3 linked regions of the Drosophila melanogaster genome follow. The protein of the gene in region 3 interacts with the protein of the main gene of each other region in a pairwise test. Each region holds a gene or a part of one and is shown on either strand. Other genes may lie near its edges. The genes, in order: CG10365, Nost and Xrp1.

Evidence for each region.
Region 1: the proteins of Xrp1 (region 3) and CG10365 interact in a two-hybrid assay, tested with the Drosophila melanogaster proteins (one large-scale study listed by BioGRID).
Region 2: the proteins of Xrp1 (region 3) and Nost interact in a two-hybrid assay, tested with the Drosophila melanogaster proteins (one large-scale study listed by BioGRID).

Annotation. Positions count from the first base shown.
Region 1 is NT_033777.3:23,720,840-23,726,570, reverse strand, and holds the start of CG10365 (uncharacterized protein), read right to left. Parts: upstream 3,241-5,731; 5' UTR 2,913-3,240; exon of another isoform or gene 2,842-2,912; intron 1-2,841. Other genes in the region: CG10232 (uncharacterized protein), read left to right, coding at 5,147-5,210, 5,394-5,570, 5,631-5,731.
Region 2 is NC_004354.4:9,027,953-9,033,550, reverse strand, and holds the start of Nost (nostrin), read right to left. Parts: upstream 3,347-5,598; 5' UTR 2,682-3,346; coding exon 2,655-2,681; intron 1-2,654.
Region 3 is NT_033777.3:18,912,785-18,918,242, reverse strand, and holds the start of Xrp1 (Xrp1), read right to left. Parts: upstream 3,276-5,458; 5' UTR 2,318-3,275; intron 1-2,317. Other genes in the region: Sgsh (N-sulfoglucosamine sulfohydrolase), read left to right, coding at 5,409-5,458.

The sequences.
Region 1 (5,731 bases), 4.8 Mb from region 3:
TGTTGGATTTTTATATTTGCTGGTGTATTTTTAATCATTTTATCTTCTTCTTCGGGTTTCGATATATTTTAGCATAAATAAATTGACCCAAAAACAGGCTGGATGGTGGAAAATTACCGAAAACAAGTTCAAAAACCTTAAACGCACATCCCCATGCACACATACATATACATATGTAGATGCTTACGATATTTAACATCCTCAAAAGCACAAGCACACACACACACACACACGTTCACATGAGACTTTTCTTTGCACCACACAACTTGGTTACGTATACGCAGCGTTGGCCACTGCTCGTTTGCCATATGAAAAACGCTCCGAAATCGACTCGCTACACATTTCTGGGTCCTTGATACTGAACTTTTTTCATTGTGAAAGTTTTTTGCCAACGGTTCAAGGTTAGCAAATTTTTCTCAAAAATTGTTTATACAGCAATCTATAGTTCCTATCGGTCGTGTATGAGTGTGGGATAGTAGTTGGTCTGCAGTTCCCCAGAAAGAGGGCAAGTTACATTTTTTTTTTGTTTGCTTCGGGTAACAGGCGCAGAGCACACACAAATTCTGGGCTCCGTTAGCTATGTATGTACATAGAACGCCTTAAGCCCATTGATATCACATGTAGATGTATGTATGAAGAATGTACATAACATACGAGTGTACGTTTTTTAGGGGGGCATAAAAGTGTATCATGGTGGCGGCAGACTGAAATTCGTCGAAATCAACAAAGCACACGAACTCACACACACACACATGCACGTACACGAATTCTCCATCCAGATGGGCAAAGCTGGCGTTTTTGGATCAGGGCTTAGCACTTTTGGATGGGAATTTACGTGCAGCTGACTAAATTTTTGTCTCGCTTATCTCATATGTGATTCGCTCATTTAGCTTTCATCACCCGGCGAATAATCACAATTGAGATTGACAGGGTGTTAAATGGACTGAATTAGGTGATCTAAAGTTCTTAATAGTCGGCCTTAATTCAAAACAACTGCATGTTACTTAATAACACGCCCTCTAAATATGTTATCATGTCTTCATCGTTTGTTTCTTTAAGCCAGATAAGTGTTACTTAAATTCAGACGCCTTAAACTTATTTCTTTATTGAATTCCATATTGCTTTCAATCCTCTAAAAAAAACTCTCATAAAAAATCCTTAGTCATTTTATTAATTACATACACTACTTACGTATTATTATCTATAACTCTTTTAACATCAAATTAAACACACAAGCCTTCTGAGTATTAATTTACTTTGGTGCCTGATAGAATTCATATACATACAGGCACTTGAAAACAAAATAATAAACCCGGCTACTTGGCTTAACACTTCTAATTAAACAATTAAAAATATATTTTATTTTATTGTGCGCTAAACGTGGCTAATAATTCTCCATCTGTTGCTTTTTGCCCCTCTGAAAATTATCAAATTTATTCGACAAGGGCCTAGACTACATTTTATTGATAAATAACCAAGCAGACTGAAAAAACTTGAGTGTGTAATTTACAATCGCGCGTTGGCGTTTGCTATCGCCATATACTTTTTGCTAAAATGATAAGAGTTCATTCCGACTTGGGTTTCGAGACGAAAGGCCTCTGATAAGGGGCTGTACGGTATGGCACCCCCTCGATAGAGAAGATTAGACGTGTGAGCGAGCTACAGCCAACCGGCAGATTAAAGAGTTTGCCAGACAGTCCGGTTGAACAAAAGCCTTGAAAGGTAAACAACTTTTCAGCATATATCAATTAACACATCTGGCCTAATTTGAAGAATCACAAAAATAAGATACCGCGTAAAACCGACCTCTTAATACTTTCTTTTGCGCATTTTACTATCCAATCCTGTTGGCTAGGTGGACATACACGTGTGGCTCTCTTATTCGCAGATTTGTCTTGTTTATTCAAAACTACAAACTATTTTTAAGCACACAGCTTATATTTAACTTTAATGATGATGTTTGCTGCATGCATTCAAAGATATATTTAGCAATCAGAATCAGCATTTGAGAGGAAGTGTGCTCTAAGATGAAGAAGTAAATGATTGAGTGTAAATACGTTCAGTTTTAATCAATATTTGCTGTACTTAGTCCCCTTTTTTTTTGCATTTATTTACTTTAGTTTTTATTTTTATTTTTGTAAACACATTCATTTCATTGAATTTACACGTCGTACAATACGTATACCAAAGCGGAAAACTAAAAAGGCATGCTATTAAAGTTAAATAATTTCGGAATGAATAATGCAATCTAAACACCCGAAATTCGAAATATTCATCGAATTTCGGGTGTTCAAGGTACGTGCCAAATACTGAGACTAGAAGTCTTACTGATAGAGTTAACTAGCATTAATAGTATAGGGTATAGGGTACTTTCATATCATAAGCCAGTTTAAAATTGGCATTTCTTTAATGATATGTTTATATGAGTAGCAATTTCACTTGTTTTGCTGATTTCTAAATGCATTTTCACCATTTTCAGGCTCTGGTGATTTGCATCAACGGATTGCATGCACAGTGACTGGGCAATAAATTGAGGTATTTAATGTAAATACAAGAAAAGTAAGCAAAGACGAAAATAAATTCAAATACGTTTTGAATTAAATGAGAGGGAGGATGAGGGTGTGAGTAAGAGAGAACAGGCCGAGAGCGAGAGAGTGAGCGAATTATAACGGAGTGCAGGAAACAACAACACACATACACACACACCGATAAGGCAGAGTAATTACAGCAACAAAGTGTTGTAAATAAACAGCAAGGTAAATAGGAGCGAATGAGATAGTATATGCACGTGTTGACACTGAAAGCTCCCAACTTGGCACACTGACACACATATGAGCTTACATAGCAGCTATGTATGTACACACGTACATCCGATCTCTCCAAGTGCAACAATTTGATGCACAATTGCCCACCTGTCCATTTAATACCGCTTCCGAAAGTGCAACGGTGGCGTTTACGAGGGTTCATTAATTTTATGCTTATCAATTTCTGTTTCTTGCACTGTACTCCGCTTTTGTTGACTCGATTTGTTTTCTGGTTTTATCACTTTTTTCATTCCGTTGCGCCATTCAGCGGGGCAACGACAACACTAGCATTTCGCACTCGGTTGCGCGCCTTGTAATGAAAACAATAACAATAACACAAGCGCCTTTTCACTTGCACACTATCGCGGTGTCTCTTTCGGACTGACTGATGAAGCAGTGCGACCGTCCCCACCGACGGTTCCAATGTAAGTGCGAGAATTGCGCCGTTTTTTCGCTCTCAAATAATGCTCCAAGCTTCCCGTTCGTCGCTTCCCCACCCCATCTTCAACTCTTCAGCGAATTTCGCTGAGCGAGCATAAACGGTAAAATAATTACTGATTTCTTTACAAACCAGTCCTGGCAAAAGTACATACATACATAAATATGTACGTATGTATATACATACATATATTATTAACGATAAGTATTTAATATTTGAAGAACACAAAGGACATTGATGTTCAACAAATAACACTGAAGAAAATGTTGACATTTTCTAATATTCATATGTAATTTAAGAGCATAATGTGTATATATTTTTTGAATACCAATGTAAATTAAAAGTAATTGCGCACGATTTTTTTTTTGGTTAAATAAAACTAATAAAATAAAACTAAATAGACTTACTTATTATTTTTGTACGGTGTAGTTTTGATATTGAAGCTCCTTGATGCTGCCCCACTCTCTCTCTCTCTCTTTCTGTCTCTACACCTTCTGAAGCGCTCTCAACGCGCAGAGAGGAGACGGGAAGTTACGCATCTCCACTCTCAATGGCGAATGCTCCACAAACCCACAAACATCCATTGGCTGACGTAATTCATACGCACCGTTGCCGCATGCAGCTCGATTTTATGAATGGAAAGCACGACATGCAAAAGCACATTGCCACCAGGCAACAGACAAACTGAACAACAGGTGCAATTGGAGAACTTCGATCTTAATTGCTCTAATTGGAAAGTGATGTGTCGCAGTCTTGATTGCCAAGCTGCTGACTGATGGCAAAAAAACAACCTCCAGTTCAGATGTTACCTTGGTAAAAATAGACACGCACATACTATGTACGTCTGATAAGATCATGCACTAAATTTCGTTGAAATTGCGTCAGTTAAAAGCTGTGAAACTAGTGCGGACTTTTCACGCATATCCCTTGTATCAGAAAAACAAAAGCGCAAACGTGAATGGGCAACTATAAAAAGAAATTAAAACATTACCTTAATGTGGTCATATATAATTTAATTTTTTTTATTTATGTATACATATATTCTTAACGTTTCGCAGGTAAAATGCCTTAATTAATAAAAGTTTCATTCAACCGCCAGATATTTTGAAAAAAAATTGTGACGTTGCCGGCTATCCAAATAAAGATTTTAGAGCGCCATCTGTTGACTATGCTTTCCATACGTCTTGAAACTCGCCCTCTATGTGTGGGATCTTAAATATTATTATACAAATTGTAAACAAATCGTAAAACAAATACAATAAAATATTATTAGTAGTCATCCGTAGCGTAGGAACAATCCATTTTCGATAAGAAATTATAATAAATTACGGCAAACAAAAATAAAGCAAAATATATATAAGAAAATAACATCTTGGTTTTGATTTATGTATAATTACTTTATGGATAGATAACCGACGGATTTGAAATAATAAATACAAACAGTGACATAGTCTCACACTCTTAAATCCTAAGTTTTCGAATAATTTTTTTACTCTTTCTCAGCGATCAGGGGTTCGTAAGCAGACAGCGTCTGAAATCCGAGTTAGTTCAATCCGGCACTGCTCTTAGATCATACGCATACTTATAAGTTGCGTACATAAAAAGTGAAAAGTTTTTAAATTAAGTCATCATATTGCTTTCCAATACAATTTGGCTATTTGCTTATTAATAATTCAGAGTGATAATTGACCATATATTATTAACACACACTTAGTGAAAATTTATGTATTTCAAATTATCGAAATAACTTGCCATTCCAGTCCAGTTCTAGATATTTCATATGACTAATGGATATACGGATATACCCAGCTATATTTCCCAGAATTTATAATATGATACATTTTGGCTAATGGTCAAACTTTCATCCTAAGAACAGTCGAAGTTTGAACGTCCACATATTGACATGGTCGAAGTATCTGTTTGCTTTCTTATACAAGGGTTTCTACTGTCGCTGTCATTTGGGCGTGGTACGAATAATTAATAATAGTGTTGAAATAATTTGCTTTTCAGTCATCATTATCATTATCATAATCATTTTAAGAGTTCAATGAAGTTCAAAATGTGCGTGGCAAGAAACACAAAGTCGCACAAATAGCCATTTTTTTTATATTCTGTACACGTATGTATTTCACGGATCATATTTTGTTCAGTTCAGTTGCAGGTTTACAATTCATGGAAAAAGTGTGATGTCAATGAGGACTGTACACACCTTAAAGCATGCCCACCCTTGAAATACTTTCTGCAATCGGCGGATATAAGTTGGGCCAGAGAAGCAATATTGCGGGACAAACAATGTGGTTATAATAGCTACTGCTGCCGAAAAGAAGGTAAATGGCTGACCAAATCGAAGTCTTTTGCCATTATTTTCTAATTTCGAACTTTACCAGGCTATGAAAGAAGATCCAATGAACAATGCGTCATGCTCAATGACTGTCCCCAGTTTAATGGCCGGAAATGGACGAGTGATATTTTGAAATCCATAATAAAT
Region 2 (5,598 bases), on a different chromosome or scaffold from region 3:
ACGAAAATCAACGAGGGAAGCCAATCTGCAAATCTTCAATTGAAATCTAATCTGCTGCTGGGGAAATGGAGGGTTTTGCTCATAAAAAAACAAAGACCCGATTGTTCCGCAGCAAATTGGGCAGGCATTAAATTGCATATGATCACGGAGAGCTAAGTAACTTTTCCTCCTTTGAAAATTTCTTTTCTTTTTCTTCCGCAAACCTCATTTGAATGAGGTTTGTGCTCCCCCTTTACTTTTCTCCATGTGTTTTTATTTTTTTTGCGAAACGAGTCTTTGGGGTAATTAAAAGTTCATTGTCGTCGACGGCCTTCCCAACTTGTTGTGGAAATTATTTTGCAATGTCTGCCCAAAAGCGCAGCTTCCATGAATAAAAAAGAAGGAAAAATAAAAGCGAGCCTCCACACGACTTCCCCATCGTTTAGGTCTTTTTTTCTTTGGATCTTTTGCAGAGGCGAGAGATTTTCCCACATGAAAAACGATGACAAAATGTGCAGGAGGCACACATCGTCATCGTCATTTAGCCGGTGAGTGAAAGTTGCTGATGACCAACATGGACATGTGGATGTGGATGTGGATGTGAATATGGTTGTGGTTGTGTATATCGATATGGTTGTGAATCCATGGCCAATGCCTTCACGACAATCTGCCGTAATTGAACTTGAAGCTGCCACCAGGAAGCAGACTTCAGCCGCCAGACTTTGGATGTGCAGGTGCAGCATCCCAAGTCCCAAATCCCAATCCCAATCCCAGTCCGAATCTCAATCTTAGCCAGAAGAAGATGATAATCGTTGGCGCGACGTCAGTCACGACATTTGCGCAATCGACTTGGGCCAGGCCAACTGGTTTTTCTCTTATTTTACTGGATTTTGATTGGTTTTATGATATTTTTTATTTTCATTTTTTTGCTGCCAGACGAGGGAGCGCCTTAGGTGGTGGGTGTCCGCAGACCTTATCACAAAAAAAAAAACTGCCAAAAAAGCTGGCGCATTTTAATGGATCATAATGCGATTACAGTTACGCAGATACGACGATAACGCATTCACATTCATAAACAACAAAAATACAGCGAAGCGAAACAAAGGCTTCTAAAAAAAAAGAATGCGATTCTACGCGAAATTGCTGTGGTGCAAAAGTTCACCATGCCTAAATGTACCAAGTTTTTATATGATTATTTTTTACTACAATACAACCACTATCTTCTTATCAACAAGTTATGGATTTAGATAACTCTTTTCGCTGAGTGCAATCCTAACTGTTTGTTTCACCGGTTTTTTTTTTTTTTTAACTCCAAAAGAAACAAAAGAAAGCTCCGTCGACCTTCAAATCATGCAATTGCTGTAGAAAAAGGGCGCTCGAGGTGTGGAAATGATGTTTGATCTAGATAGCATGTAGAAATTAAGTTGGGAAATTTCTCGGTAAATGTAGGTGTGTGTGTTTTTCTCTTTGACACAAGTAGAGATAAAAAAAATGCAAAGCAATTGCGGCTTAATTCGAAAGTCAGCAAACATATAGAGAAACTAAATCGAAAAAAAAGTATCTTAAGTAGTGAATTCATATCTCTAAATACAAAGTATTGATAATTTACTACTTTACTTAACCACAATTTTGCATATCTTGCAATACCACTTGCCGCAGTAGTTTTTTTTGTTTTTTTTTTTTACCATCTTGGCCAGATATTTCGCAGATAAATCGTTCGAGATAAACGGGTTGCACAGCACTTCGAATAAGTCGATCTATAAATTTCATCCCATGCCTATCAACATTGCCGTTTGACCCGCTTAACCTGCGTGTTTTGCATCGCACTAATTTATTCAAAAACTGTTCGACTTTCGTTCGCCAAAGCGAACGACGCACTCCTATTAAAAAAAAATAAAAAATTAAAATTTAAAAAAACCAACCAATTTGATTAGGTTATTTCGAGTGACCTCGACACCGTTATTCCGCTGATAAAGCCAAGGTAATTCGCTGCATGCGAAGCTTCGGAAGCTGTCAAAATTCTCAGTTCCAAGTCAATTGCCAGTCGGCACAAATGCAAATGCACTCGAAAAAAAACACCCCTAATAATAATGTTTTTTATATCGAAAATGATATTATAATTGCTTGTCTATAAATGTGGAAAGTTCTATATTTTCTGTTCATTAAACTTATAAAGTTATAGTAAGTTAAAACGAATATTTGTAACTTTCTTAAAGTTCAAAAGCAGTTTAAGGTAATAAGCCATCAAAGAACTAGTGAATGTATCTCAAATACTAAACATCAAAATGATTGAAGAAATCGTCAAAATTCCCCTAATTATCAACTTTGATTGCCAGTGCAATTCCACCAATCGATGGATCGGCACTTGGCGAGCTGCGAAATTTAAAAAAATCGGGTCAGGCCGAGAGATGCATGGTGCCAATTGGCCAATCGGTTTACAGATGGCCACACAGGTTAATTAACGATTTGGACCAATTAAGAAGATGTCGAGAGGGGGCGTTGGGCAATGGACAAATGAGGATAGGGAGAGAAATTGTGTTGGATAATTGTGCAATTTGGATTAGTTTTGAGTGCAGGATAGAGTGCGAGTATCACTGTGGATACGTGTGCAGTAGTTAGTCGGTAATTAGTGCCAAATCTCAAGCCAAACCGAACTGAACTCGATCGCAACTCACCCATGAATTATCGCGGAATTGTGACATATTTTGGCCAGCGGCGGGGGTTAGGATGCGGGTAGGATATTATGATGCGGTATTGTGAACTATATGTGTTTTTTTTATTTTTTTCAATTTAAATTTTATAATTGAAGTTTAAAGCATTTACTACTGGTCAGCCCGGCTGATTGTTTGCTTTCAGTTTCAGCTCGTCGCTTTTCCTTCGCGTATTTCGTTTGTGTAACTTTTATTTTACTTTTGTTTTTTTTTTTTTTTTGATTCGCGAATTTCACAGTTTTTGTTTAATTTATCTAACCAATTTGTTAGCACACACACACAACGACACTACGATACACTCACACACACGACGAGTCAGCTGAGCGTAACGCATGTGTTCGAGATACTTTTGTATCTTGTATCTGCGTTTTTTTTTCTTTTTTTTTTGGCTGCTTTCTGAGGCGTAACTGCCAGCACGATTACGTGCGACAATTGTAGCACTCGCCAGCAAAAGGCAGAGATGCACTACTCAAAAACGAAGCACTCCAGTTCAAGGCGAGCAAAGCGTTCGCAGGTAGAAAGAAAAAACAATAAAAAAAAATGTAATAAAAATATAAATAATAGTACACAGGTCGCCGAAGTTTTGGTGGAAAAACCGCGCTGGAAAAGCCGCATGCGCTCTCGTCGCTCTTCTACGAAACGGCGAACTAAACGAGTCGAGTCTGCGCCGCCAACTGAATCTGGCTTTTAGCTTTTGACTCCGACTCCGCGATCCACGCTACAACAAATCCCAATCCCAATGGCAATCGCAATCGCAAACGCCGCTCGCCGCTCTCCGTGAGCGGTGGCAATTGCAATCGCCGGTCGCTGGCGCTTTCTAAACGCTCTCCGCTCAACGCTGAACGCTCTTTGTGGAGCGGCACAGTGGGTACAGTGGGCTGATTTACTGACTTATGTGGCTAAAAAAAAAAACAACAAACCTGCAGGGAAATCTTCCACTCGGTGAATAGAATATGATAAAGAAAAATATGAAATGAAAATGCATAAAGAACATATATTCAACTGATTGAAGTCAGCTGACATTCAGACAATTTTAGATAAAAAGATTTAATTTTTAAAAATTTATTTATTGTTAAAAAAAAGTTGCAGCCAATTGGACAAGCTTTGTGTACGTTTTAAAGCTCGTTTAAGCTTGGCTTACGATGACTTCAAAGTTATGGAATGCAGATGCATAAATTTGCATCTTTCGAACTTACCCTTATGACTTATTTCGATTTCCGTCTAAATGCTGTGATTACAATATTCTAATAACTTATTTAGTTACCTTACAAGCCGTGACTCATCTGAATTTGACTTTACTTGTAGGTGAGAAAGCCCAAAACTATGCCATAAAAGAAAAACGCAATGTTGTTGAGTTTGAAATACCAAAAAAAATTTTTATTTTCCCTTAGGAGAGAGTCAGAAAATTCATATTATAAGCAATTTTGTGGATGATTTCGATCGTTTGTCCAAATATTGTTGGGATTCGCTAGCGTAAAGTGTTATTGATATTTTTTTTTTTTTTACAATTCTTTGAAAGTTGCACTTGGATTTTAAACAGAAACTCGTAGCTGAGCGTTTGGGGTTCGTTTTTTGCGGTTCCGAAAATTACAATTTTGTTTGAGAGCTTAACAGGATAGACTATGGCTTAAAGGATCGATGCGAATGAGTCTATATAACTATTGTACATCTATTTAATATTCGTGGGTGTGTGTGTGTATCTGTGGTTTTCGGGTTTCTAAGTATATAACATACGAATGCTGCATAGCCAATCCAGATGCTAAACGTTCTCGACTTTCCCACACAATTGCCACAAGCGAATACAGTTTTTTTTTTTCGTCGGTATTTCTCATCCGATGTAGCTCGAAAAATTAATATTAAATTTGTAATTATTATCCCAGAAATTGGAGATTCTCTTATTTAATTCTGTTTTTTTTTTTTTGATTTTCCGTTAGGTTTGCTAAATGCTATTTCAATTTCTCTTTTCGTTTGTCTTAAGTAAAATTGAATCAAATTCCTCAGTGCTTGCAGTGCATATCGTACTTAGTAATTCATGTTGTCTATGCTTAGTGACTAATTCAAAAAAAGTAGATATATATATATATATATATATATATATTAAATAGGCATATACATACAGTGATGGGGATGGTTATCAATAGTGTGCTTTTTCTTACATCTATAAATATAGTTTATAGGATCTGTGAGTGTTTGTAATTCGGTATATGTATGTACACTTTACAGTTAAGCAGTTTAGAACTCTTCGATAGAAATACTTTCAGACTTGCGTAAGTTAATAATTAAATGTATGTATGTATATATATATGTATGTATATATAGTGTATATCCAGGTGGAAGGGAGAATCCAAAGTCGTTGTCTGTTCAAAGTTTCGATTTGGGCGAGGATTGAATTAAAACGCGGGGTTTTGCGGGAGTCGATAGAAAATTGCACAGAATTTGTGTATTTACAGGGTTGTCGGTGTAAATAAATAGATTACTTTTACACATTTATGCCGCTTTATTACTTTATCAATATATGTATATATATATGTGTATATAGTATGCTTACTATCGTACAGTTAGGCATTGTTTTTAGGTATATCGTTCCTCCATCCATTTCTGTATCTTGACCTTTACAATTTTGGTTTGCCTTACTTGCTAGGATTTCATAAGACTTGCGTTTCATTTTTCCATATTTTGTTCAAAAGTTGCACTTAAACAATTCGAAAAAAATATATACTATATATGTATGTCTATATATATATATATGTTTTTATATATACTCGCATATATATATAGCATCTATGTTGTTCCTATGTACACATCATGCAGTAAGTGTTTCCATTTAGTGTTATCCTGTTTCTCTGTGTCTATGTGTGTGTGTGGTGTATCCTTGTGTTTTTTAGTGGATATTCTGGATATCCATAGT
Region 3 (5,458 bases):
TGCACTGTGAATTTCATTCGTTGTGAAATTCAAAAAGCTCCCACAAACCAGTTTGCCATAGCCAGATACTTTTCCCTATCGGTGTGTGTCGGTGTATTTCAGATAAGCGTTCGCTGTGAGCAAGCAAGAGAGCGCTAAAATTCCCTGTTGCCGCCAGATGGCCTGCTTTTATAAAATTTCCCCGGCATATACTATTTTCATATGAGCTACAAGTTGGAGGCTCTTTGTCACAGCCGGCCGGTGTTTTTCATATTTGTATGTAAGTATGTACTTTACCGAACCAAACATTGCAAAGTACATTTTAGTGAGACTAAGTATTCATGAGTGAGATATATTATAGGCATGAGTCATAATCGTTTGCTTGGGTGGACCGACCTATCACAATATCATTTCTATTAAATAATTAGATACATACATTTTGCACAATGAAAATAAATTGTATTTTTGACTTTCAATGCAAAAATATATAAAGACCTCTTTTTAAAATTAATGAATTTTTTTTATTAATATCTATTTATTCATAGGTTTTTTCATCAATATGTAAAAAAATAATAACAAAACTATTAACAATGAACGAGAAAAACAACTAAGTTTCCAAGTTTGCACAGATTTGACACTGTCAAGAAATTTTTTGCACAAAGTACTTAAGCTATCTTAGACTTATAGTTCATAAGAAATTATAATAACTTGAGGTAATTCTAATACTTTGCATGCATACCCTTAGCATTAATAAAATATTGCAGAAGTTTTTTCATTGAAAAAATAACTTTTCAAGATCATTTTGTTTTGGGATCTTATATTCTTTGGGTCAAGAACTTTAAACAAAATTAAAAACACAAAAGAACGAGGCATGAGAATGCATGGTTATACTAAATAATAATATATGTACGCATCTGTATGTATGTATGTATGTATGCATTAGCCCAAGGGAGTGATTTAGTTGGAAGTCTTTTAAATTTCAGAGCAAATGCATTCATTTTCTAGATTGTTTGGCCTTTAAAAATAATAGACTGTGAACCCCACGACAATCCAAAAATCGTTGAGATGTGAACTTGGGAAATTTCTTCACGTTCTTTCTCTTTCGTACAGCTCATTCGCCCACATTTGAAGAGAAGAGCTTTCTTGTCGTGGTATTAGTAAGCTCTCTTTGAATGTGTGCTCAGATAAAAGCTGTTGAATTCTCGAAATCGAAAAGCTCTGCGTACGTACGTATGCATGTATGTATAACAGCTTTAACTGATAATTTAGAAATCCATGAGTCATGCTGATAAATATAAAGCGCAAAATGAGCTTCAGCGGTTGGCAAAAACTGTCATCATGTGATATTTGTAATGGGCCTGATCTGCAGACACAAATACAATATAACCAAGGGGGGGGGGGGTCATTTTGATTATTTGCCCACGTCCTCTGATTTTAGCCCCCAAAGCTGAGGAGCTTAAATGCCAGTCCACATATGCGTGCAAAAATATGTGACTTTCAAACGACAATCTTGCGCAGCGCACCGACTGGCACGAGCTCTTGGAATATCGAAGACGACCATCAACAATGGACGCCCTCAGTTGGCAAATTAACAAAATAAATGGCCAACACGTAGCGATTCGTTCAATCTTTTCACGATGAGTGCGCATTTTTCGATTCCACGAAATGGGAATGGAAAGGTAGGGCGTTTTGCATGTGTAGATGAATAGCAATTGATCTACAAAGCCCCTTCCTTGTTCGATTTGATTATCTTATCTTATCACTTTTATCTGAAACGTGATCTACATATGTACATACAATATAGTGTGGTGGTAGCTAAAAGTGTATGACTAAGTTTAAAGTGATTTTTTGCAACAAGCAGTTGTCTGGCATATCCAAAAATGTGTTTTTTTAAGCTGTTTCGGTGTGCTCAGTCTCTAAAGTTTTAAATTAGTAAAGCCAAAGATTTTTGTATCTTCCCTACCATATATGCATGAATGTCTGTAACTCAACAGGTCACCATTATTAATTATTTAGTAATCATCCTAAAGATACAAAATTTAAGACTAGTTACTTAACTAATAATATAGAATAAGATATAAGACAGAATCCGGTTTAGAAACCCCATATAAATTTATTATTTTAAGCGTCACGTTTTCACATGTAATCAAAACACCTATCAAAACAACGCCCTACAAAAGTTCACGATTACTATAGGCCTATAGGTAGGTGGCCTCATCTATCTATGTATACTCGACGTGAAGTGTACCCAGTGTCAATGACACCGCCAGCAACAAAGTTGTGGCAACAAATGTTGCTGGCTTTGGGAAAATGAGAAATGTGGCCAGTAGTTGCTTACCCTCCATCATGTTGCTGCCACGTTGAGCAGGTTCCAATGATGACGGCACTAATATGATCTTGATCCTTGTTGCTCCTTATCTCCGGTGACTATTTGACTTATTCGAATCGGTTTCAAAAGAAAGTGCGGCGACTAAAGCGACGGCGGTTAAAGTCACGCTTCTTTCGTAGCAACTTGGAGCGTCGTAGGATCTTAGTGCCCGTAGTGCCACCAGTGCCGGTGCCGATCGTGGAGGTCTCGATATTGATTGAATTGTTGCAATAAAACTTATTGTTATGCCAGCCGCGCATACGCATACACATAAAGTTGTTGAGCATGGGAACCTGCTGCTGCGAATGTTGCACACACATGAAGACAACGACAGGCGAATGTTGCATGACGTTCTTAGGCGACGCGATGTTGGATTTCCCGCTTTTTCTCGACACTGCTGTTGCTGTTAGTGTTGCACCAACCGCAGGCAGAACGAACATAATATTGGGGCAAAATGCCTTTGAAGTGTTTTTCTCTTTTTTTTTCTTTTTTTTTTTTGGTACGGTCAGCTGTTGCTTCAGTGATACCACTTGTGTAGATCGGGCGTATGCTTAATGTACTCGTCAAGTGTTCGTGTTCACAAGCGCTTATCTATATAGCATCTAGATACAACTGTTATCTGAGATACCGAGATACGAAGTATATATAGAAATTGTTTGTTTAATTTTCGCCAATTTATTGCGTCTCTCGCAAATGTTTTTCAGGCTGTTAATCACTCTGAACTTTGCACTCAAAGTTGAGTTTATCTGGTACGTTTTACACGAAAAGAAATTACTGTTCTATGAATAGGATATCTTTGTAACGAGGTTCAGCGTTTGATGCCATTAAGATGGGATTCTAAAACACGTATCGAAAATTTCACAAATTCCACGCTGATTTGCACACCGAAAGCTCTGTCGTTTGCCTTGACTCACTGAATTGTTGTTCTGTTCGCGACGAAGTATTGTTACTAACTGACTCAACTGCGAGCACTGGACGGCAGCCGCTGGCCGGGGTTGATATAATTTTGCTGACGTCGTTGCCGGTTTCATTCACCGCTCCGTCCATATACCCTTTCCCCACCACCAATATATATTCACATATATTCACACACACGCGCTCTCTCAGCTGCTGTGTCTATTTTCTATGGCCGTGCCCCCAAAACATTTCCACGCGGGGATCTTTTTCTCTCATTATTTTTGTGATGCGGAGGATGGGCCACTCGGATAAGTGGGTGCCTCTACTTCTTAGATACTACTCTACTCTAAAACCCTTAGCTGGTTGAAAGCAGCTGAAAAAGGTGTAAACAATGCATTAGCATCAACTGATTTAAGTTCTGAAAAAAAAAAATTTCCATGTGCTATTAACTTGAGGCAAAGTATTACATACAACACAGTTAAGTTAATATAACAAAAAATATATATATTTTCAATAAACTGTGCAAAACGCAGACAGATTATTCATAGCCGTTCATATTATTTGGCTAGCGACAGTCTGAAAATTGCACAGATAGCATTTCGGTCTAAATTGGCTACAATAGATAAGAGAAGCTAAAAAAAAAGAATAAATTTTACTCTGCACCCAGATAATTTAGAAACGTAGATATTAAGGTTGTAAGTAATAGCAACTATGTTTGCTCACAAAGGGTTAATAAACTGGTATTTAATAAAAAGCCGCGAAACTTAAGTATAGTTCAATACTTTGCGTATTTTTTCGCGCCTAAATATTCATTTATATTCATATGATCATTCACAGGATTTTTAATGTAAATGTAAGTATTTATGGTTACATATGTCACCTATGTCCGCTCCAAAAGGTATAGGGCAACTGGTTTGGCAGCCTGCCATGCAGCAACAACAAACAATACAGATTCGCACTCTTTCTCTCCACGTGAGTGAAACTCTCTCTCGCTGGTTGAGATTGGCTGATGCAACACTTGCCACACGTTGCAACAGCTGTTTTAGTCTGGCCCAGCTGATTCGTATTGTTGGCTTGTTGCCAGAGACTGCGAAAATCTCTTGGCAACATGTTGCCACAACTTTTGGAAAACTCATAGTGTTGTTAAACATGTTGGGCGAAATTTTCACACCGGTGCAGGGCAAAAAGGGGGTGGCTTAAACTGTAGCTGGCTGGCTGGCTTAAATTAGCCGGCCGATGATTCATTTTGGGGGTTGTCCACTTACATAAGATGAGCTCACCCAATGTGAAAACTCTTTAGTCGCTGGAAGAAACTGCGCATTTCGACACAGAAAAGCCTAAACAAGCAGAACGAACATTTGTTTTGTAGATTTATAATTTTTCAAAACATACAATCGCATTGCACTTTGCGATTGGCCTTGACACCCTGACGTGGTTCCATTTGGCGACACTGTTCCTGCTTTTATCTTCTCCATGGCGCAAGATAAAATCAGAAAGTACAACGTGTTGATCACCTAATGGCCAGAGTCATGCAAACCAAACTCTTGGTGATTTAAATCTATTTCCATGTCTGTCACAAAAGAATACTGCTTATTATTATATGGCGGGTTATAATTTACCAAAGTACACAAAATGTTACAATACAATACAGTTGAATATATACTAGTTAAATGTACATATGTTTTATAACAGCTCATTGGCTGTGTTTTAATGGTTTATAAATGTAAAGTGTTTTTAAAGCATTTTAAATTTCAAATGAAACATTTTTTTTGTGGAAGTGCTGTTTTTTATACTGTTCAGATATATCTCACTGATATTTATGATGATTCTTTAATCGTATGACTGTACAGTACCCTCACACTTTAGTTCTCTGTATGGTGTGTTGACTGTAGTCAAACCGCTCCCAAAGAAAGTCGGGCAAAGTGAATGTACCTAGGCGCGCTCCCGCTGAGCATTTGTTGTGTTGATGAGATTAAAACTGGAACTGGGAATGGAATTGAATGCGTCTTAAACGGAGAACGGAGAAATGAGAGGCTTTGTGGACACTTAAAAGTATGCGGCTCTCTTGAGCCGTACTTCAGTACGCTGACGTCGACTGAAGAATCGCTTTGTTCTGCGCTCTCAAATATATTTAATTTGGATTTGGAACTGGATTTATGTCAACATGCAATTTCTGCAGTGGATTTTTACACTATGGCTAATTGCTGGTTGCTC